5 linked regions of the Xenopus tropicalis genome follow. The protein of the gene in region 1 interacts with the protein of each later gene in a pairwise test. Links are inferred from orthologs where the notes say so. Each region holds a gene or a part of one and is shown in the gene's direction. Other genes may lie near its edges.

Region 1 (4,475 bases):
TATACGTTACATACGTGGGACATACTGTATATATGTTACATACGTGGGACATACTGTTATTATGGTTTACATACGTGGGACATACTGTATATATGTTACATACGTGGGACTTACTGTATATATGTTACATACGTGGGACATACTGTATATATGTTACATACGTGGGACTTACTGTACATACTGTATATATGTTACATACGTGGGACATACTGTATATATGTTACATACGTGGGACATACTGTATATATGTTACATACGTGGGACATACTGTATATATGTTACATACGTGGGACATACTGTATATATGTTACATACGTGGGACATACTGTATATATGTTACATACGTGGGACTTACTGTATATACGTTACATACGTGGGACTTACTGTATATACGTTACATACGTGGGACTTACTGTATATATGTTACATACGTGGGACTTACTGTATATATGTTACATACGTGGGACATACTGTATATATGTTACATACGTGGGACTTACTGTATATACGTTACATACGTGGGACTTACTGTATATATGTTACATACGTGGGACATACTGTATATATGTTACATACGTGGGACTTACTGTATATACGTTACATACGTGGGACATACTGTATATATGTTACATACGTGGGACATACTGTATATATGTTACATACGTGGGACATACTGTATATATGTTACATACGTGGGATGCATTGGCATTAGGTGAAGGGATGACTTCCATAGGGACATGTTCCTTTCAGGGTGCCATTGCTGGTTGCCAGGGCACACAGACCAGTTACAGTTGTGAGGTGCTATAGCGGCGGTGGGTTGGGGGGAATTAGTGGGGGAGAATGGGCTAATGGGGTACCTGGCCAAGTAGTATTGCCCTGGGCAGCATTTATTGCCCCTCCACGTGCAACTGACTGGCACTTAGTGACTCACATACAAATAATGGTGCCCCAGCCGGGGTGAGTTGTGCTGCTCGGTAGCCTGCGGGCACTGGCTATTGGCTGGAATTCTGGGGAAAGAATGCTGCCTGCTGATTGGCTGGATTGAGCACTAGTGCATAGGGGGATTTGGGTGGGGGTCCCTGTAACAGGCACCTCTTGTTCTACTTTTGTTCCAGCACCCAAGGGCATTTACCCTGTGCCTGGGCTACAGCACCGGGGGGGGGGTCACATGAGCACCGTAACCCCATAAAGCGCCCGCAGCCCCCCCAGAATCCAGGGGCACATTGGGCTCTTACAAGGACTGATACAAAGCCACATCTGGCTCATTAGGGCAAGTCTGGCCGAGGGGGGGGAGCCGGGGTTGCACAGTAGTGAGCATTGTGAGGGTTAATCTGGATCTAATCCTGAGAGCGGGGCAGGAAGTTGGCCAAGGGGGGGGGGGGGGGGGGGATTCTGCATCTTTCTCTCCTTTTAGGATTTCCCTCTCTCCTCCTCTCCTCCCCCTCCTGGTCAGTCTCTTGCTATGGGGGAATCTCATTACTGTCTCCTTGGAGTGCTGGATGCTGGCTGGGGTGGGCTCGGGCTGGGGGTCTCTCTGTGCTGGGGGTGACAGCAGTCAGGGGTGCAGGGGGAGATAACGACACCCCAACAATTAACTAAACTTCCCATCAAACTTATCCCGGGAACGAGAGCTGCAACTGGATCAGCACCGACCGACTGGGTCCATCTTTGCTTGTGTCTCTTCAACTACTCTCAGACGTGACCGCAGCTGGTGACGACAACAACTGTCTACAAATAGTAGCCCTGCAGTCTCACTGGGGAGTCCTGAGCGAGAACACACCGACGGGTCACGGGGCACATCTGGAACTGAGCACGACTGGTCCAGCTGGGAGCTTCATGGGCACTAACGCTGAGTTCTAATTGGACCTGGAGAGATATCAGAGCTAAGACCTGGGGAGACATCAGCACTGAGACCTGGGGAGACATAAGCACTGAGACCTGGGGAGACATCAGTACTGAGACCTGGGGAGACATCAGCATTGAGACCTGGGGAGACATCAGTACTGAGACCTGGAGAGACATCAGTACTGAGACCTGGAGAGACATCAGCATTGAGACCTGGGGAGACATCAGCACTGAGACAACTCTCACCAATGTGGAGATGTTGAGGAGATAGTAGAAGGGAGAGCACAAAATAGTCCCTCTCTGATCTAAAGGTGAGTGGGGGCTGCAGACTGTAACGGTTACGGAGTCTGTATGTTGGAGGCACATGATTGGAGGAACCAAGCCCACAAAGAAGTCCTGTGGATCTGCTTGGAGGAACCACCAGGGAGCATTTTCAGACTGCAGCTGAAGACCTTCCTCTGATGTGAGGATCTACTGACCACTTGGGGCTTCACTCTGATCTCTATGAGGTTCTATTGGCCACTGGAGACCTCACTCTGATCTCTATGAGGATCTACTGCCCACTGGCGACCTCACTCTGATCTCTATGAGGATCTATTGGCCACTGGAGACCTCACTCTGATCTCTGTAAAGATCTATTGGCCACTGGAGACCTCACTCTGATCTTTATGAGCATCTACTGGCCACTGGAGACCTCACTCTGATCTCTATGAGGATCTATTGGCCACTGGAGACCTCGCCCTGATCTCTATGAGGATATTTTGGCCACGGGAGACCTCGCTCTGATCTACAGCAGGATATAGAAACCACTGGAGAGGTCATTTGGTCTACATGTGGATATAGGGACTGCTGAAGGTGATTCTAATCCCTATACGTTCATACTGACCACTGAGGAAGGCTCATTTTGGATCAGTACCACTGATGTTCTGCTGAGAGACCGCTGGGTCTTTGCCGGGAGCTGTGGGATTATAATACATTGTGTCTCTTTCAGGCATTTGCTCTGCTGATTCTCAGCCCTAAAAATGGGCGTCAGGACTCTGTTGCTCCTACTCAGCTGTGTAATCTGTATAAATGTGAGGGGGGTGCACCCCACAAACTTCCCCTCCCGCTATAACCTTTATACGGGGGGAGCTGCCCCTCAAACCCAAGTGATGACTGCACAAGGGGTAACTCAGGCACAAAATGGACTTCGGGCGGCCAGCAGGCACAGGTAAGTACCCAGCATGCCAGTCATTTCATGTATAAAGCTTCTGAGGTACTGGGGGGGCCACTGGAGCTCCAGGTATTGGCCGTAGTGCAAACCACATGTGCTGATTCTCTGCAGCTGGAAAACGTGAGATCTGAACTACTACGTGAGCAGGGAGCCCAGGGGGTGGTACTCTACTCTGTATTGCTAGCAGGGAGCCCAGGGGGTGGTACTCTACTTTGTATGGCTAGCAGGGAGCCCAGGAGGTGGTACTCTACTTTGTATGGCTAGCAGGGAGCCCAGGGGGTGGTACTCTACTCTGTATTGCTAGCAGGGAGCCCAGGGGGTGGTACTCTACTCTGTATTGCTAGCAGGGAGCCCGGGGGGTGGTACTCTACTCTGTATTGCTAGCAGGGAGCCCAGGGGGTGGTACTCTACTCTGTATTGCTAGCAGGGAGCCCAGGGGGTGGTACTCTACTCTGTATTGCTAGCAGGGAGCCCAGGGGGTGGTACTCTACTCTGTATTGCTAGCAGGGAGCCCAGGGGGTGGTACTCTACTTTGTATGGCTAGCAGGGAGCCCAGGGGGTGGTACTGTACTCTGTATTGCTAGCAGGGAGCCCAGGGGGTGGTACTCTACTCTGTATTGCTAGCAGGGGAGCCCGGGGGGTGGTACTCTACTCTGTATTGCTAGCAGGGAGCCCAGGGGGTGGTACTCTACTCTGTATTGCTAGCAGGGAGCCCAGGGGGTGGTACTCTACTTTGTATGGCTAGCAGGGAGCCCAGGGGTGGTACTCTACTCTGTATTGCTAGCAGGGAGCCCAGGGGTGGTACTCTACTCTGTATTGCTAGCAGGGAACCCAGGGGGTGGTACTCTACTCTGTATTGCTAGCAGGGACGGGGGTGGTACTCTACTCTGTATTGCTAGCAGGGAGCCCAGGGGGTGGTACTCTACTTTGTATGGCTAGCAGGGAGCCCAGGGGGTGGTACTCTACTCTGTATTGCTAGCAGGGAGCCCAGGGGGGTGTACTCTACTCTGTATTGCTAGCAGGGAACCAGGGGTGGTACTCTACTCTGTATTGCTAGCAGGGAGCAGGGGGTGGTACTCTACTTTGTATTGCTAGCAGGGAACCAGGGGGTGGTACTCTACTCTGTATGGCTAGCAGGGAGCCCAGGGGTGGTACTCTACTCTGTATTGCTAGCAGGGAACCCAGGGGTGGTACTCTACTCTGTATTGCTAGCAGGGAAGCCCGGGAGTGGTACTCTACTCTGTAATTGCTAGCAGGGGAGCCCAGGGGGTGGTACTCTACTCTGTATTGCTAGCAGGGAGCCCAGGGGGTGGTACTCTACTTTGTATGGCTAGCAGGGAGGCCAGGGGGTGGTACTCTACTCTGTATTGCTAGCAGGGAGCCCGGGGGGTGGTACTCTACTCTGTATTGCTAGCAG
Region 2 (3,287 bases), on another chromosome or scaffold:
CGTAGGCAGGCCGCTATACACTGGTGTTTTCTAGATATTGATGCATGGTTATTCAATCGCTGCTAAACACATCAGCTCATTAATTCCATTATATTCTGTCTGTTTGTACTTATGTGGTCAGAATTTATTTTTAATTGCAGTCGTGTTTTCTTTTCTGCATTGGGGCATTTTTTGCACTTGACACTTGATAATACAATAGAGAGTTTTGTGGTAAACAAAAGCAAGCTTAGTTTTAGTAGCACAATATATGCGTTACGATGCATTCTTAGATGCAATGCTATGCAGCTTTTCATTTGATTTAACTGCTAGTAATACACTTTGGTCACAGAGCACAGCAATCAATCTGCTGTAGAAATACTTTGTCTTGAATAGTGCTTGGTAGTCCCACAGCACAATGATCAGCTGAGTGTATGGCCAAACATTTAAATAATAATGTATTTATTTCATTAATAGGCAATAGGTGCCCGGAACTTATTAAAATCTATAGCAAAGCAAAGAGAAGCCCAGCAGCAGCAACTGTATGCCTTAATAGCAGAGAAGAAAATGCAACTAGAAAGGTATGTATTTACCAATGGGCAAATCCTGTGCCTGTATGTATTCAGTTTAGTCATAAGTTGCATTTATTTGCTTATTTGTGCATAAGGTGGGTGGTGCAGCCTGAGGAACAGTTTGTGCAAATATTAACTCTACCAACTTTGTTATTTGCTCCACCAATTGTCATCAGCAGCAAGACTTCTCTGGATTAGCCTTTTAATTGAAGAAGGATGATGGCGGTGGTCTGTCAGTATATATAAAGCTGGAGGAAGATATTTTCTCCATGAATAATTTATAGACAAACGTTTAGCTTGAATGGAACATAATGAATACAAGGCACAGCCTGGGATAGGTTGAGGATAACTGCAATGTGTCATGTTTTGGAGTAGAGAAAGGGGCACCCTATAAGATATAAAATGCCCCCACAACAAAGGGTGCTTCGGTTACACATTCTTTATATTAGCAGGGTTAAAACTGCTAACATGAAATTAAAAAAAAAAAAAAAAAACGCACATATAATATACACACACACACACACACATATGGTAACTGCAAATGTGCCTATAAGAGCAATATTAAATGAAGTTATATGGGTGTGCAGATGTCCCCTATAAGTAGGACATAATGGGAAATGGCTCTTCTATATCTGGGAGCTTCCTGGATAATGATTTCTATTGTTCCTTTCTTTCAGGTACCGAATAGAATACGAGGCACTGTGTAAAGTGGAAGCTGAACAAAATGAATTTATTGATCAATTTAACCTCCAGAAATAGCACCACTTGCAGGCTGTGATTGCTCTGGCTGACTGCGCGGGTCGCTTTATTTTCCCAGCAAGAATTTCTTCTCAGTACACACATTTCATTGCAATTCCAGTTGGACATTGCAGCACTGTTCAATAAAACATTCCTCAATACTACTTGCTCCTTTTGTCTAAAGCATTCTCGGACACCTGACCAAGCTCTGCTGTTTCAGACATTTCATCGTAAAAGAACAAAACCAGCATTTCTCTCCAGCAAGTAACCGGTCAAGAAGCTTTAAGAGATACAAGCCTATTTTTAAATCATTGTTAAACATTAAAATGTATTATTATACTTTCTATCTGCCCAAGTGCTTTTTAAACCATAGTTTAAGTACAGTTATTAGATGCTGGACACAATGTATTTAATGCAACACATCAGCACATTTAAGAATGTGTATTTCCTGCAATGAACAGTCATGCATCAGTAATAGCCGCTTAGCAGGGATTATGCTGGCATATTTTGGCTCAGCTTACCCCACCTAAGGTTATCTAAACCCTGTTTTCACCGATATCTCACCCACTTGAATCATCACTGTGAAGTTATAGGCAGGGCTTTGCATGTCTGTAAAGATTACGGTTATATATATTTTTGACATTGCCTTTGCAGAAAACGCTGTAAGAAGAGCAACTTTGCTCCATGTATGCTTATGTGCATATGGGGACAACTCACATCTTAAAAATAGCCTCACAGTTTGAGAGAAACAGATTTAAACGCTTTGCAGAGATGGGCGGTTATTATAATTGGAAATGTGAAGAGAATGACAGCAAAATTTGCCTATATATATATATATATATATATATATATATATACACACACACACACACACACACACACACACGTACATCATTGGTACTTTAGCAACAACATTTCTATAGTGTGTTCTTGTTCATCAGGGGAAAATACCCCACAGTTCATCTTAAATCAGAAGTATTGAAAAAGCCGAGCAACGGCGACGGGTAACGTTTTTATTGGTACGTTTCTACATACATGTTGGTCGTGACTGAAACTGGAGTTGGATTTGTTTAGTTTTTAATGTATCTCATTTTATATCATTTATTTGCACATGTTAAATTGCTTGGAGTGCTGTTGATCAGTGGATGGATAAGTATTGTGCTCTCAGTGCATAGAAACAAATGTTTTATATGGATGCTTTTTTGTGTACATTTAATTTGCCTCGATTTATAAAAAAAGAAAAATGTATCACAATGCTTCAACTGTGCTTCTGTTCTTTAGGCAATTGTTAATGCCAGTGTACAAGTGAGCAGAAGGGACAGGGTGCAGATAGCAGCAACAGCAAAAGGTGCCTCACAGCTTGTTACACAATTCCAATATTGGAAACTAGTTACCTTTTGATGCTCGGCTTATGTACTTATTGACAGTAGACATCTTTGGTGAGACCACATTCAACATAAAATGTATCTACTCCCTGCCACTGTTTCTCCATAGCCGCTTAGATTTGGAGAGAACTTTAGGGAATCTGATATAGTTCTTTTTCTCTAAATTATAGTTTGTTCACTCTAATTTTCTGCAAAATTGTGCTGTTAGCAAAAAATAAAAAAAAGCTCCCCCCTCATGGGGCAAGTACTAAAGCACAACTACATTGGTTTGATCTCTGGGTGCTTAGGAATACAGAGTAAACATGTATAAATCAAATACAATAATTCAGTTACCCGGAGAGCACAATGAGCCTTATAGCTTCATCACAGCGACTTTATTGTGGAGACCTCATGCATTTCAAGCACCTGAAGAAGGCTGTTGAGGTAAAACATGTAGTGCATGAAGTCTCCACAATAAAGTCACAAGTCACTGTAATGAAGCTATAAGGCTTATTGTGCTCTCCGGGTAAATTAATTATCATATTTGTAACTATATGCAGCCACCACGGGAGTCTGCAACCTGTTGAGCGGCACTAACTAAGAACAGATACTGCTAAGGACAACTAATTATTTGCGA
Region 3 (4,643 bases), on another chromosome or scaffold:
AGTGTTTGAAAAATGGTTCAGCTATGGAAAGCAATAGAACAGCCTCCAGTTACATCTGTATATATGTGCAGATAAAATAATGAACAATCTGTGCACTTAAATTAATAAATATAAACAGATTTTAACCTTCATTATTATAAAAGGAGTAGGAAAATGAAAATGTTAGGCACCCCAGTGCTTATATTCACTTACCTGACACCCCGGGTTGGTGTTCCTGTTAGCAAAAACACCGCACCGGCCAGGGGTACATGCAGGTGAGCAGTCCTCTTCCTTCAGTCTTGTTTCCTGAGTCAAAAAGTCTTCTTTTTTGTGAAATTTGTGAATACCATCACTGGGGGGTGCCTAACATTTTGAACATTCCTTCTCCTTTAAGGCATATACATATATATATATTTTAATATACATGATTTTTTGTCGAAGTAAATAAAAATGTTGCTTTTAATATGTTGTATACAAAATGTGATACAGCTGTTGCTGTTAATATCTTCTATAAAAGTAACTAACCTATAGTACATCAGCATTTTTGGGGCTGCTGTCACCCCCACGCGATCTGCGCTTACCTCTTCACCATCAGAGTGGGTCCAGGGGAGAAGCCACATCACTTAGCACTTCTTGCACTAGGGGAGCCAAATTTAAAAAAATAAAATTTGGCTCAAAGTTACCAAAGTCATTTTTTGTTGCCCTGGGTAACTGGCGGCTCAATGCCACCTGAGTCAAGGTTCTCATCTTGCCTCAATGGCAGAATTGCCCCTGCTATAGTAAGCTATTTTTTACCTACTTTTGGATAAGCTACTTAGGCAGGTTTAATTTTAACTTGAAAGGTTAAACTTAATGGACACGTGTCTTTTTTCACCTAAGTTACTATGTTGCTATTTAAGCTACAGCCATGTATATTGAATGCAAGTTACTAGTAACAAGCTATTAAAGAATTTGAGACAAGGTCTGAGAGGTTCCAGTGTGGGGCTTGTAAGTAACCCATATCGCATACAAACATAAAAGAAAATACATTTTGGCTCTTAAAAAAACTGAAAAATGCTGGCATTCATTATATTAACAGGAAACCCAAAAAATAATTTAATTCTAATTCTCTTTTTCAATATACATTATTGATTTTTACTGGTTTTAACTGTAAATGTATTTGCAGAGAGCATTATTTTACTGTATGTCTTATATTGCTGGATATGACTCTTGAAACAATGTAGTAAATTCCAACTCACCCCCAGCCAAAACTTGTTTTTTCAGCTGGCTTCTGCTACACTTCACTAGTCACTTCCAGCATGGGAGAATTGCAAGGGTTAGAGACATACTGCTCAACAGCAATTGAAAATAATTTGACAACTATCGAAAAATTGTAATTAGGAAATATTTCTTTTTGGGTTTACATCCCCTTTAATGTTATATGTTTTTTTTGTTCTATTTTTAATTTATAACAGGACCATGACCATAACCAAAAGGGTTAAAAAGTTTGATTCTTTTTACCCACTTTTCCTGAAAGGTTAAAGGCTGGCTTTTGAATTCCACGCACGCCCTGTGTGTATAAATACAGAGGGGAAGCTAGGAGTCACTCTGGATTCTTGCCAGCTTGCTGAACAACTGGGTCTGCTGTTTGAGAACTTTAAAAAACAATCCAGGCAGTTATGTGATTATTTCCTCTCCTTCCAGTTACAGGCAGGCGGCCCCTCTCCTCTCTCCCTTTCTGTGGCAGAGTGCTGCACTATATCCATCCACAGAATTCTGCTGATCGGAGAGCCTGAATCTCCTTGACTTTATTACTGGGAGTGAATTTTATACCTAACATCAACATGCGTATTCTTCTTGCTGCTGCTTTATTATTGCTGGGATTATTGGCTGGCAGTTTTACAGGTTAGTACAGATTTAAAACTGTTATAGTTAATATGTGGTTCGACTCAAAACTATGTTTCTTTCAGACAGGCAAACAAAGCAACTCTAAGGCTATCTTATCATTCAGTACTTATGTTTTTTGAGTTTTCAGTGACATACAATTTAACAAATAGATCATTAACAAGCATTGTTACATCTGTCAGATACAGTAACACCTCTTATACATGAAGTAAAAAGGCATGGATGGCTATTGGCTTGATTCTGTCACATTTGTCACATCACACTGAATTTTTGACTAATGGCAAAAGTTATTGGCACAGTTATTTCCAAAAAGTAGTACTCGTTAACGAATTCATGTAGCAACATCTAGCAAGCCTAATTCAGTGTATGTAGAATGATACTGGTAATAAATCTGTATTATTGCTAGTTTTGGTAAATCCTGAGGCACATTCTGCATTCAGATAAACACTATGGCTAAACAAATACAGTATAAGCATTTTATGTAGCCAAAAGTACCCTAAAAACCCTTTGTCACGTCATCAGTAGAAAGATTTACTGCCGAATTCTGGTGTCTTTGGAAGCAATGTCAGTACTAGAACTATTTGTTGGAAGGATGGCATTTTTAAGAGTGAACAGCTGCACACAAGCCTAACACAACCATGTGCAATGCAAAGCTTTGGCTTGAGAATAGTAAATATTGCCACCATTGGACGCTGGAGCAGTGGAAAGGCATTCTCTGGAATGACAGGTCATCATTTACTATTTAAAATTCTGACAGATTGTTTTCAAAGGATTCCACGAGAATGCTGGCTAGTGGAATGATTAATGCTGACCATAAAGTTTTGTGAAGGTGGAAACATGTTTTGACAATCCTTGTTATATGGAAAGAGTTTAGGTGGATGGCCCTTTTCTGTTGTAGCCCCTATACACAAAAGAAGAACTGTTTTGCTATGTCTGGAGTGGAACTTGACTGTCCTGAACAAAGCCCTCACCTCAACCCAAATGAATACCTCTGGGATCAGGGGCCTGTTGCCATGAAACAAGTTACTGTGGCAGCAAATATCCGCTCCTGATAACTTCCGATTTTTAAATTGGAATTTTGGCTCTTGTAGTGCACCTCTGCGATACTTTGAAAGGTAAGCATCAGGTGCAGGGGGGGGGGGGCATCTGAAAGACCACCTTAGGGCAGCATAGACCCCAGAAATGCCCCTGTCCAGGATGAAATGAGATGCCAGCTGCATGCTAGGCCTGAACACTCAGTGTTACAGGCCTAATGCCCTTGTTGATAAATAGAAGCATCATCCCCCCATGCACAACAGCATTTAGATGAAAGCAAGAGTTAAGAAAAAAGAAAACACTAAATGAAGGACCAACTGTATATTAATACCATTGCTGGGAAAGCAGGTGCCTGGTTACTTGTAGCCATATAGTGTTTAACCATTGACCACTGATAGTATAACCATTGACCCTTTAGGATATTTCCTCACTGACTATATTCCTAACATTCATACATCCAGGTTTTACAGATACTCTGTGTCTTTAGGTCCCATCTGTGTGCTCCCACTTATCAACCAATACTCTTTTGTCTTTTTTTAATCCCTTGGGACATTTCTGCTTAAAAGGCCCCAATCTTTTCCACAGAGCATTGTACCTTTGTTCCTTGTAAGTTATCAGGGCACATTCTACATTTACATTTTGTTCCATTGCATCACTCCTTACGTCCACCAGTGCCTCGTCTTGTAATCATAATTGGTTTTACTCTCAAGAACTAAGATTTTGAAAGTGACTTTTTGACCTGTGGAGGATAAAAGGAATCATATCTTAATAGCATATTCATCTCCATTTCTTTAGTAAAGAAAGCTGTGTGCAAAGTCTTTAACCTCCAAAAAAGGCTTCATGTCCAATATCAGGCTAGAAAAAAAAATCTAGTTATTATGTTGCTGCTGACAATACCAGAGCTTGAATGTCTGACAAGTGTTCTGCAAGTCATATAAAAATGTGGGTGAGGCATCCAAAGCATTACTTTCAGCCTCTGGCCCCTTCTGTGATGTGTACCCCATAGGAGAGTCTGTCATCTCCTGTTTCTCAGACCACTTTGCTAGCCGTCAAGGTGCATATTCCTGACAGACAGGGTCACTAAAAATGGAATAAAGGGCCATTTGCTCAGTGCTGCCATATCCCTTATTTTAATCAGGTAGGTTTTTTTTAGATGATGGCCTCTTTAAACAAGGTGTAGATACCTTTGAATGCATTCTACCATTCCATAGTGGGTCACTCTACAAAGGAAACATGATGGCTCCAGGCTCAAACACCATATCCATAATTCATCCAGAGGGTTGCTTCTCAAGTGGCCCTGCCATCCTGCCTGCCTTCACTACAGTTTAGAACTCCAGCACCACCTCTGCTGCAATTTGGCCTGTTTGGTCAAGTTAGTGATGTTTACTTCTGTCCTTAAGCTCCCTTATGAAGACGAGCCACATGTCTATGTCCTCAAACCCTTAAGATATGTCTTTGTAAATGGCCTTCTCTAGACAGAAGGCATGCAATGTCTAAATATTTGAACTAAGGTAAACACTCATTGGATGTCTTCTGTTCACCACAACTGTAAATCATTTTAAACTGTTACTAATGGTTTTCAGAACCTTTTTTTCTGATTTTCTTCCTTCTTTCCTCCCCTTACTTAACAAATTTTAGAGAACGTTTGAAACTAATTCAGTACCTGCTGGCTTTTTCACAGCCTCTGGAGCTACCCGCTCTTCCCCTTGGGTCCCTTTTGTTGTAACATGTTCCCTCTTGTGTGT
Region 4 (4,501 bases), on another chromosome or scaffold:
AATACACTGTAAATAAAGAAAAGGGTAAACTGAATTGATATGAAATAATGGTACCTGGATGTCAAATTACCTGGGTGTACTTGCGAAAGAAAACACCTTGTACCTTTCCAAACACTTCATAATCCACAGAGATTGGCTCTTCCTCAGCCATGCTCCCCCTTAAATGCAACAGGGAACTAAACTTCTGAACAAGCCTTAAAAAAAAAAAACAACAAGAGCTTATAAGGTTTGTTCAGAGCTAAACTTCTGAACAAGCCTTAAAAACAAAATGTATGACATTTTTAGGGGAAAAAATTGTCTATTATAATGGAGTGTGCTCCCTCCCATATGCATTTAGAGGGTTGCCCAGGTAAACAGAAAAGCAGTCTTAGTCAGAATTTGCCAGTCACTTTAACCTTTCACAGTGCTTAAAATACACAAATCCCACCAATGATTTACCTGCACTGCAATGAGCTATTTTTAAAACCAGGGCATTAGCATATACTGTATGCTTTATGGAAATAAATAGGGAGTTGAGGTGATAATGGTTACTTATTAGACATGTATAGTAAAAGTATAAAAATGTTAAAATATTGAATTAGATATGCACATTGTTGTGGTATAAAATACATATATAGACAATTAGCACATGATGAATACCTTTGAAAATGAAGCAATAAATTCCCAGCACACCAGAAAGCTACAGAAATTGCTAAATGTGGTCATAGATCCTAAGGAAGAACCATTCAGAACTTTATTTTGCTAAGACTGGAGAGTTACTAGAATTAAACAGATACTACTTATTTGTACAGAATACAGACCATATGGAGAAAAGGCTAGATAGTATGTCCAACACCTGGGCAATTCTCTGGAAAACCTTGGTTTCCTCAAGGTAGCAAACAATCGTTCCACAGCAGCTGCAGCCATATCATCATGAGGACAAATGTAGTAGATGTGATCTACTTTGCCAAACGTTTTGACACAGTCCTGCATGAAAACACCCCCAACTTCCTGCATGCAATGATTTTTGTTCAAATAGTATTCAAGAAATTATAGGGTACGCTGATTTCCATTATTTATAGATGAAAATATGCAGTTTTGCACCGATAATATTGACACTGTTACTTCCCCTCTAGAATATAAATGGCTAGCGTCTTTTCTTCTTCTACTTCACAGGTGCAAAACATCAACCCTATTTTCTACGTGTTTTAACGTATAAAAGGGCAACGGAAACTATGTTTGTTAAACAAAAATAATATCCCAAATTAATTTTTTTCAGTAGCTAGAGTAATTTGTTAGATGCAGCCAGTCTTGTAAGAACTAACCTCCGTTACTATAGCAGCGGTCGGACAAACCCAGCCTTCTTTTCCTGCGGCGCCCAGAATATTGCGTCACCACTCGCACACGTAGTTTGGCTGCGCCAGTTGTTTCCTAGCAACCATGGATACAGCGCGGAGGTAGAAGAAGAGCGAGAGCAACTGGTAGGTTTGGGAAGTGGTGGGCACAGTATAGTTGGCAGGCTTTATATTTAGTCGGTGTTATCAATTATACGACGGTATAGAGGCATATATGCTAATGCACGCCTAATACTCAGGTTAGGTTTAATAGCAACATGATTAGGCCACAAAGCATTATGCGCAGGAGTGTTGATATTATACTGTATAGTATAACCGTGGGTTGCACTGGGCCTTTTTGCCTTTTCCCTATCTGTAAGATGTTGGTAACAATTGGATTGTGTGTCAGAGCTCTATATATTTCTCTAGCTTTGACGTATATACGCGTATATACACTCACTGTGTCACTTTCCTGATTAAGGAAAATGAGAATAGGTGTGAGTACTGTGACTACTCTGTTAAAAAACTATGAAAAACAAATAATGAAGACTGATTGAAAAGTTGCTTAGAATTGGCCTTTCTATAACATACTAAAAGTTAACTTAAGGGTGAACCACCCCTTTAACCTTTTTCAAACAGCTCAATAATTAGGGCTTGTGCTAGGCTTACTTTTTGTCTTTTGTTTAAATTAAGAAACCACTGTTTATTGTTATTTCTTGGACTAAACAACAACATAAAAAAAACCTCTTAACTTTAGCACACCTTGTTTATGCCAAGTCACTGTTTTCATGGGACAAGCTTGTAAAACACACTAGCAGCCCAGAAATACGCTCTCTGTATAATGAGTTTGTGATGTTATGACACCCTGACAAACCAGAACGCATGGGAATGCTGGTTGTATAGTTAAACCCGTAGAAAGCGGTGCTTGAATATTGGGAATTGTGAAGATTGCATTTAAATTGCACCCCCCCCTCGAATGGAAAGCTGGAAACGAGCAGAAGAGCAAGTCAAATAATTCAAGAATGTAAAAAGAGAATTTTGTTTTACTTATCATTAAATTCTTTTCTCTTAAGACGTCTACGGGATACAGCATCCACCACCCAGAGACTGGATACTAAAGAAGAAAATGTTCCTCCTCCCTGCTGTTATACCCCTCACTACTTCCTGAACCCTTCAGTTTTGTATAACAAAGAGGTAATGATAGTATTTTCTACTGAATTATATATATAGTGTTGCAAAGAATCGGCACTCACCAGTATCGGGCACAGGCTGGGTGCTGACAAAAATAATACATCAAACTCAACAGTAGAAAGCACTCACAGCTACAGCATCAATCAGGTCAGTGATTTATTTCAGCATACCATCTACGCGTTTCGATCACCACAGGATCGTCATCAGGATGATGACGATCCTGTGGTGATCGAAACGCGTAGATGGTATGCTGAAATAAATCACTGACCTGATTGATGCTGTAGCTGTGAGTGCTTTCTACTGTTGAGTTTGATGAATTATATATATATATATATATATATATATATATATATATATATTTTCACTGGGGTAGGGACATTCCTCATGGAATGTTTATAATTTTGCACAAACAAGGTATTTACCCTTGGATTGAGAAAAGCTCCTCCTTGAGAATGATCCCTCAGTACTGCCCTCAGTAAGACTGTGTTGTAAGACTTAGAATCAGTCTTGTTCCTAAATGGTGAAGAAATATACCCTCCCTAGTGCCTGTCTCTTGCTCTGCTGGATGGTTATGATTAGAAGCACGTACTGCCCTGATAGTGCTGCCCTCAGGATCAGATGGAGAGCAGAGGGTTTTCTGGGCGGTGACTTTGTTGGAAAGCGGGAGAATGCAGAGTTGAGGGGAGTATTCAGGGAGCATCCTGAGAAAGTCTGCGTAAAGGTGGATAGTAACCTTACCCTTTCGCTGGTATGCTGTACAGCTTCAGACTCCCCTTGATTGGGAGTCAGGGATTCTGCAGTGGACAGCTCCTTAGGAGGAGTTGTTAGTCCCAGCACCAGCGAGCCCACCAAGGGGAAGCCACTAAAGAGGGGAGTTCGCTCGGTCAACCCCTGTTGAGTTTGGTACACTCTACCCTGTCTCTTTAACACTGAAAAAAACTGAAGGGTTCAGGAAGTAGTGAGGGGTATAGCAGCAGGGAGGAGGAGCATATTTTTCTCTTCTTCAGTGTCCTGCCTCCTGGCTGTGGATGCTATACTTGAAGGCGTGGTCCCTGTGTCCGACAGACACCTGTAAGAGGAATATAAAATGAATCCTGATTGAAAAGTTGTTAAGAATAGGCCATTCTCTAACATAATTAACAAATGTGAAATTCCCCTTTAAAGGAGAAGGAAAGGCTATGTCACTGGGGGATGCCAAAATGTTAGGCACCCCCCAGTGACTTATTGTTTACTTTTGACCCTGGGCTGGTGCTTCTGTTAGAAGAAAACCGCATCAGCCCGGGGTAGCTGTGAGCAAGCATCTCCTCTTCCTTCTTCTGTCTTTGTGCGCAGTAGAGTGAAAAGCAGAACTTTAACAAAAAAGTTGGTTTTTTCACTCTACTGCGCATGCACCGGCCCCAGGATTCAGAAGGAAGAGGGAACACTCACTTGCAGCTACACCGGGCTGGTGATTTTTACCTTTCGTTCTCCTTTAAGGTTGCAGTGCTTTTATTTACATTGTGAACCTGATATTTAAGGTGCCCATACACCTAAAGATCCGCTCGCTTGGCGATGTTGCCAAGCGAGCGGATCTTCTCCCAATGTCCCCCACCTACCGGGGGCAAAATCGTGAGAATCCAGGCTAATTAGATCGTTTGGCCCTGGGCATAGGCAAAGTCGGTCCGGGGAACGCATCAACGAGCCGATACGGTCCCCGATCCGACTAGATTTTTAAACCTGCCCGATATCGGTCGGGCAGTCCCTTCGGTAGTGCCCATACACGGGCCAATTAGCTGCCGAATCGGCAGCTAGAATCGGTCCGTGTATGGGGACCTTTAGTCTGTATTGTATAATCAGTGATTATGCATGAAAAAGAGTGCACAGTAGATTATTACAGGACTGACACCTTTTCCCATTTGCTTTAAATCCCGTAACAGTGTCAATAAGATCTGATGCTATATAGCACAAAAATTTTGAGTTTTTCTATTTCATCAAACTAATCTGATGATAGGGGACAC
Region 5 (4,660 bases), about 11 Mb from region 1:
AGGGCTAGAAGCAATGCCTCCTATAATCTAGGGCTAGAAGCAATGCCCACTATAATCTAGGGCTAGAAGCAATGCCCCCTATAATCTAGGGCTAGAAGCAATACCCCATATAATCTAGGGCTAGAAGCGATGCCCCCTATAATCTAGGGCTAGAAGCAATGCCCCTTATAATCTAGGGCTACAAGCAATGTCTCCTATAATCTAGGGCTAGAAGCAATACCCCATATAATCTAGGGCTAGAAGCAATGTCTCCTATAAGCAATGTTCCCTTCTTATTTTGCCCATGTAACTGTTTCCATGCCAAGCCCAGACTGGATTACCCTGCCATGGAAGGTGCCACAGCATTAGATACCCCTGTAGAAATATAATGCCTTCTAGATGTTTACGGGGATGTGTTCTTTGTATCTGCCTTTGTTACAGTGATGTTTGGGTTTACTTGCTGGTTGAAAGGATTGGGCAGCCATTGCAGGATTGGGCAGGGATTGCAGGATTGGGCAGGGTGCGGGTCAGACTGGGGAAGTGCATCCTCCTCCTACATTTTATAGGTTAGTGGTTGGGTTGAGTGGTGAGTCTCTGACCTATGTTCATACCTTCCAACTTTCCAGATATTTTTGGGACAGTCGCAATTTTAACAGCTCAGCCCACAGTCCTGGGTTCTTATTAAAAAGTCCCTCATTTCCCATTGAAAGTCAAAAACGATACAAAGTTTCTCAAACTTAATTAGATAAGTAGCTTTTGACAGAGCCTAGAATACTCACCTCCTGCACTGAGATACAATTGTAACCATAACTCTCAACTGTCCTATTATTCGCTGGACAGTCTCGGATTCTCACTGAAAAGTCCCTCATTTCCCTTTGATCTCCTGCACTGAAGCTAAAAAAGATACAAATTTAATTAAAAGTAGCTTTTGGCAGAGAGCCCAGAAATCTTAACTTGCACTTAGATACAGTGTTTCCCACATTTAATTAAATAAGTAGCATTTGGCAGAGCCCAGAAAGGTAAACCCCCCCCCTGCACTGAGATACAATTGTAACTAATAAGCTAAACAGGTCTCTTGGGGGAACGGAGACTCATTAAAGGGCAACTTCACCTTCATTAGCAAACTCTAATAACACATAAAACAGGACCCCCCCAGAAATGTGTTGAAACTATAAATAACCTGCCAAATGGAGTCATATGGGAGTGGGATTTAGGGGGCGTGGTCACAAAAATGTTGCCAAGCTACAGTCATTTCTTTTTTTCAACTGTTGGGAGTTATGCATCGCTTTGTTCCCTATACAGAGCTGAAGAGAAAATGTTTTTTGCTATACTGTTTCCAAACCAGTGCGTTAAAAACAAATACTGCTCTACAAACTATATGTATAGATAGTAGTCTAACCACTTCTGGTGCAAAGCCTCCCCTGCTTGGGAAACTGAAGGCACAAACTACCTCAGAACACAAGTTGACGCGGGTTATCCCGCCCCTTCCGCTTTGGGTCTGTAAACTTCCGGCTCGGTGGCCGCGCATGCGCGTTGGGCGGAACCCGGAGCTGCTGGGTGTCTCACTGACAGGAATGAGCCTGAGGGAATCCGCTCAGTGATTTCTCCCTAGCGCCTTGTCCCGCCGCCGGGATGGAGTTCGCCGAGCTGATTAAGACTCCTCGGGTGGATAATGTGGTTCTACACCGGCCCTTCCACTCCCCGGTGTGGGGCACCCTCTGTCTCACCGGGCACCACCTCATCCTCAGCTCCCGGCAGGACAACAGCGAGGAGCTCTGGCTTCTACACGCCAACATCGACTCCATAGAGAAGCGGTCAGTCCTGTTATACAGGGACAATGAGTATCACTCATGTATTATAAGGGATAATGTACCCCCTACTGTAAATGATAAGGATATTAGCAGTCACTGAGGGGTTCTGTGCCCCCCATATAAAGGCACAAGGCTGCAGGCTGAGTTATACAGGGAACTCTGAGTATCACTCATGTATTATAAGGGATAATGTACCCCCTACTGTAAATGATAAGGATATTAGCAGTCACTGAGGGGTTCTGTGCCCATATAAAGGCACAAGGCTGCAGGCTGAGTTATACAGGGAACTCTGAGTATCACTCATGTATTATAAGGGATAATGTACCCCCTACTGTAAATGATAAGGATATTAGCAGTCACTGAGGGGTTCTGTGCCCCCCATATAAAGGCACAAGGCTGCAGGCTGAGTTATACAGGGAACTCTGAGTATCACTCATGTATTATAAGGGATAGTGTACCCCCTACTGTAAATGATAAGGATATTAGCAGTCACTGAGGGGTTCTGTGCCCATATAAAGGCACAAGGCTGCAGGCTGAGTTATACAGGGAACTCTGAGTATCACTCATGTATTATAAGGGATAATGTACCCCTACTGTAAATGATAAGGATATTAGCAGTCACTGAGGGGTTCTGTGCCCCCCATATAAAGGCACAAGGCTGCAGGCTGAGTTATACAGGGAACTCTGAGTATCACTCATGTATTATAAGGGATAATGTACCCCTACTGTAAATGATAAGGATATTAAAAGTCACTGAGGGGTTCTGTGCCCATATAAAGGCACAAGGCTGCAGGCTGAGTTATACAGGCAACTCTGAGTATCACTCATGTATTATACGGGATTATGTACCCCCTACTGTAAATGATAAGGATATTAGCAGTCACTGAGGGGTTCTGTGCCCATATAAAGGCACAAGGCTGCAGGCTGAGTTATACAGGGAACTCTGAGTATCACTCATGTATTATAAGGGATAGTGTACCCCCTACTGTAAATGATAAGGATATTAGCAGTCACTGAGGGGTTCTGTGCCCCCCATATAAAGGCACAAGGCTGCAGGCTGAGTTATACAGGGAACTCTGAGTATCACTCATGTATTATAAGGGATAATGTACCCCCTACTGTAAATGATAAGGATATTAGCAGTCACTGAGGGGTTCTGTGCCCATATAAAGGCACAAGGCTGCAGGCTGAGTTATACAGGGAACTCTGACTATCACTCATGTATTATAAGGGATAATGTACCCCCTACTGTAAATGATAAGGATATTAGCAGTCACTGAGGGGTTCTGTGCCCATATAAAGGCACAAGGCTGCAGGCTGAGTTATACAGGGAACTCTGAGTATCACTCATGTATTATAAGGGATAATGTACCCCCTACTGTAAATGATAAGGATATTAGCAGTCACTGAGGGGTTCTGTGCCCATATAAAGGCACAAGGCTGCAGGCTGAGTTATACAGGGAACTCTGAGTATCACTCATGTATTATAAGGGATAATGTACCCCCTACTGCAGGGCTGTCCAACTGGCGGCCCGCGGGCGGCATGCGGCCCTCGACCCCCCTCTGTGTGGCCCCCCACCTGTCTGGCTGCTTTGATGGCTTAACTTTGTGTAAGCTTTAAATGGTATCAGTACTGAGATTAACTGCCCCCCGCATGGTTATCACCTCAGATTCAGGCTGTAATCCCCTGTGTTGTTCACACCTTTTAATCTCTGCATTGTTCTACCCCTGCAGTGTTCACACCTCAGGCTCAGGCTGTAATCACCCACATTGTTCACCTCTTCACACCTCAGACATTGTATGTACTGCCTGGCCTATGCTGCCTGCGTATAGCACATAGGCAGCATAGGGCAGGGAGGGTATGGCACACTCAGGCAGCATAGGGTAGGCATAGTATGGTACATAGACAGTATAGGGCAGGGAGGGTATGGAACACACAGGCAGCATAGGACAGGCAGAGTGCTGCCTGTGTGTGCCATACTCTGCCTACCCTATGCTGCCTGTGGGAGGTGAACCTGGCAGGGGTTTGTGGGAGTTTGTTAGCAGTTGGAAATAGTCATTATATGGTCCCTAAGGTGTGTAATTATGTGCTGGGGGTTGCTGTGCTACACACAGGGGAGGAGGCATATGGATTTAAGGGTATGTCTTAATATGACATAATATAATTCTTTAACATATGAATGATGGTTGATATCCCTGCAGCGACCATTGTGATAAAATGGGTGTGGTTTAAAATGGGGGAGTGGCCAAAACTGGCTTCCATTAGCGGCCCTCCACCATGTATGCGAGAGAAATTCCGGCCCTCGGCACCGCAGAAGTTGGACAGCACTGCCCTACTGTAAATGATAAGGATATTAGCAGTCACTGAGGGGTTCTGTGCCCATATAAAGGCACAAGGCTGCAGGCTGAGTTATACAGGGAACTCTGAGTATCACTCATGTATTATAAGGGATAATGTACCCCCTACTGTAAATGATAAGGATATTAGCAGTCACTGAGGGGTTCTGTGCCCATATAAAGGCACAAGGCTGCAGGCTGAGTTATACAGGGAACTCTGAGTATCACTCATGTATTATAAGGGATAATGTCCCCCCTACTGTAAATGATAAGGATATTAGCAGTCACTGAGGGGTTCTGTGCCCATATAAAGGCACAAGGCTGCAGGCTGAGTTATACAGGGAACTCTGAGTATCACTCATGTATTATAAGGGATAATGTACCCCCTACTGTAAATGATAAGGATATTAGCAGTCACTGAGAGGTTCTGTGCCCATATAAAGGCACAAGGCTGCAGGCTGAGTTATACAGGGAACTCTGAGTATCACTCATGTATTATAAGGGATAATGTACCCCCTACTGTAAATGATAAG

Evidence for each region.
Region 2: the proteins of emilin1 (region 1) and ift20 interact in binary tests that used the Homo sapiens proteins (3 or more experiments, as listed by UniProt). The two-hybrid records come from large-scale screens. The link is inferred for Xenopus tropicalis from reciprocal best matches to the Homo sapiens genes EMILIN1 and IFT20.
Region 3: the proteins of emilin1 (region 1) and plac9 interact in binary tests that used the Homo sapiens proteins (3 or more experiments, as listed by UniProt). The two-hybrid records come from large-scale screens. The link is inferred for Xenopus tropicalis from reciprocal best matches to the Homo sapiens genes EMILIN1 and PLAC9.
Region 4: the proteins of emilin1 (region 1) and zc2hc1c interact in binary tests that used the Homo sapiens proteins (3 or more experiments, as listed by UniProt). The two-hybrid records come from large-scale screens. The link is inferred for Xenopus tropicalis from reciprocal best matches to the Homo sapiens genes EMILIN1 and ZC2HC1C.
Region 5: the proteins of emilin1 (region 1) and mtmr9 interact in binary tests that used the Homo sapiens proteins (3 or more experiments, as listed by UniProt). The link is inferred for Xenopus tropicalis from reciprocal best matches to the Homo sapiens genes EMILIN1 and MTMR9.

What each region holds. Positions count from the first base shown.
Region 1 is NC_030681.2:161,480,950-161,485,424, forward strand, and holds the start of emilin1 (EMILIN-1), read left to right. Parts: upstream 1-1,502; 5' UTR 1,503-2,867; coding exon 2,868-3,055; intron 3,056-4,475. UniProt on the Homo sapiens protein: Involved in elastic and collagen fibers formation. It is required for EFEMP2 deposition into the extracellular matrix, and collagen network assembly and cross-linking via protein-lysine 6-oxidase/LOX activity.
Region 2 is NC_030678.2:47,406,770-47,410,056, reverse strand, and holds the end of ift20 (intraflagellar transport protein 20 homolog), read left to right. Parts: intron 1-453; coding exon 454-557; intron 558-1,225; coding exon 1,226-1,307; 3' UTR 1,308-2,118; exon of another isoform or gene 2,119-2,152; 3' UTR 2,153-2,534; downstream 2,535-3,287. UniProt on the Homo sapiens protein: Part of intraflagellar transport (IFT) particles involved in ciliary process assembly. May play a role in the trafficking of ciliary membrane proteins from the Golgi complex to the cilium.
Region 3 is NC_030683.2:53,034,880-53,039,522, forward strand, and holds the start of plac9 (placenta-specific protein 9), read left to right. Parts: upstream 1-1,563; 5' UTR 1,564-1,802; coding exon 1,803-1,863; intron 1,864-4,643.
Region 4 is NC_030684.2:82,251,437-82,255,937, forward strand, and holds the start of zc2hc1c (zinc finger C2HC domain-containing protein 1C), read left to right. Parts: upstream 1-1,419; coding exon 1,420-1,436; intron 1,437-2,386; coding exon 2,387-2,507; intron 2,508-3,511; coding exon 3,512-3,575; intron 3,576-4,501. Other genes in the region: acyp1 (acylphosphatase-1), read right to left, coding at 71-151.
Region 5 is NC_030681.2:150,907,948-150,912,607, reverse strand, and holds the start of mtmr9 (myotubularin-related protein 9), read left to right. Parts: upstream 1-1,502; 5' UTR 1,503-1,611; coding exon 1,612-1,793; intron 1,794-4,660. UniProt on the Homo sapiens protein: Acts as an adapter for myotubularin-related phosphatases. Increases lipid phosphatase MTMR6 catalytic activity, specifically towards phosphatidylinositol 3,5-bisphosphate and MTMR6 binding affinity for phosphorylated phosphatidylinositols.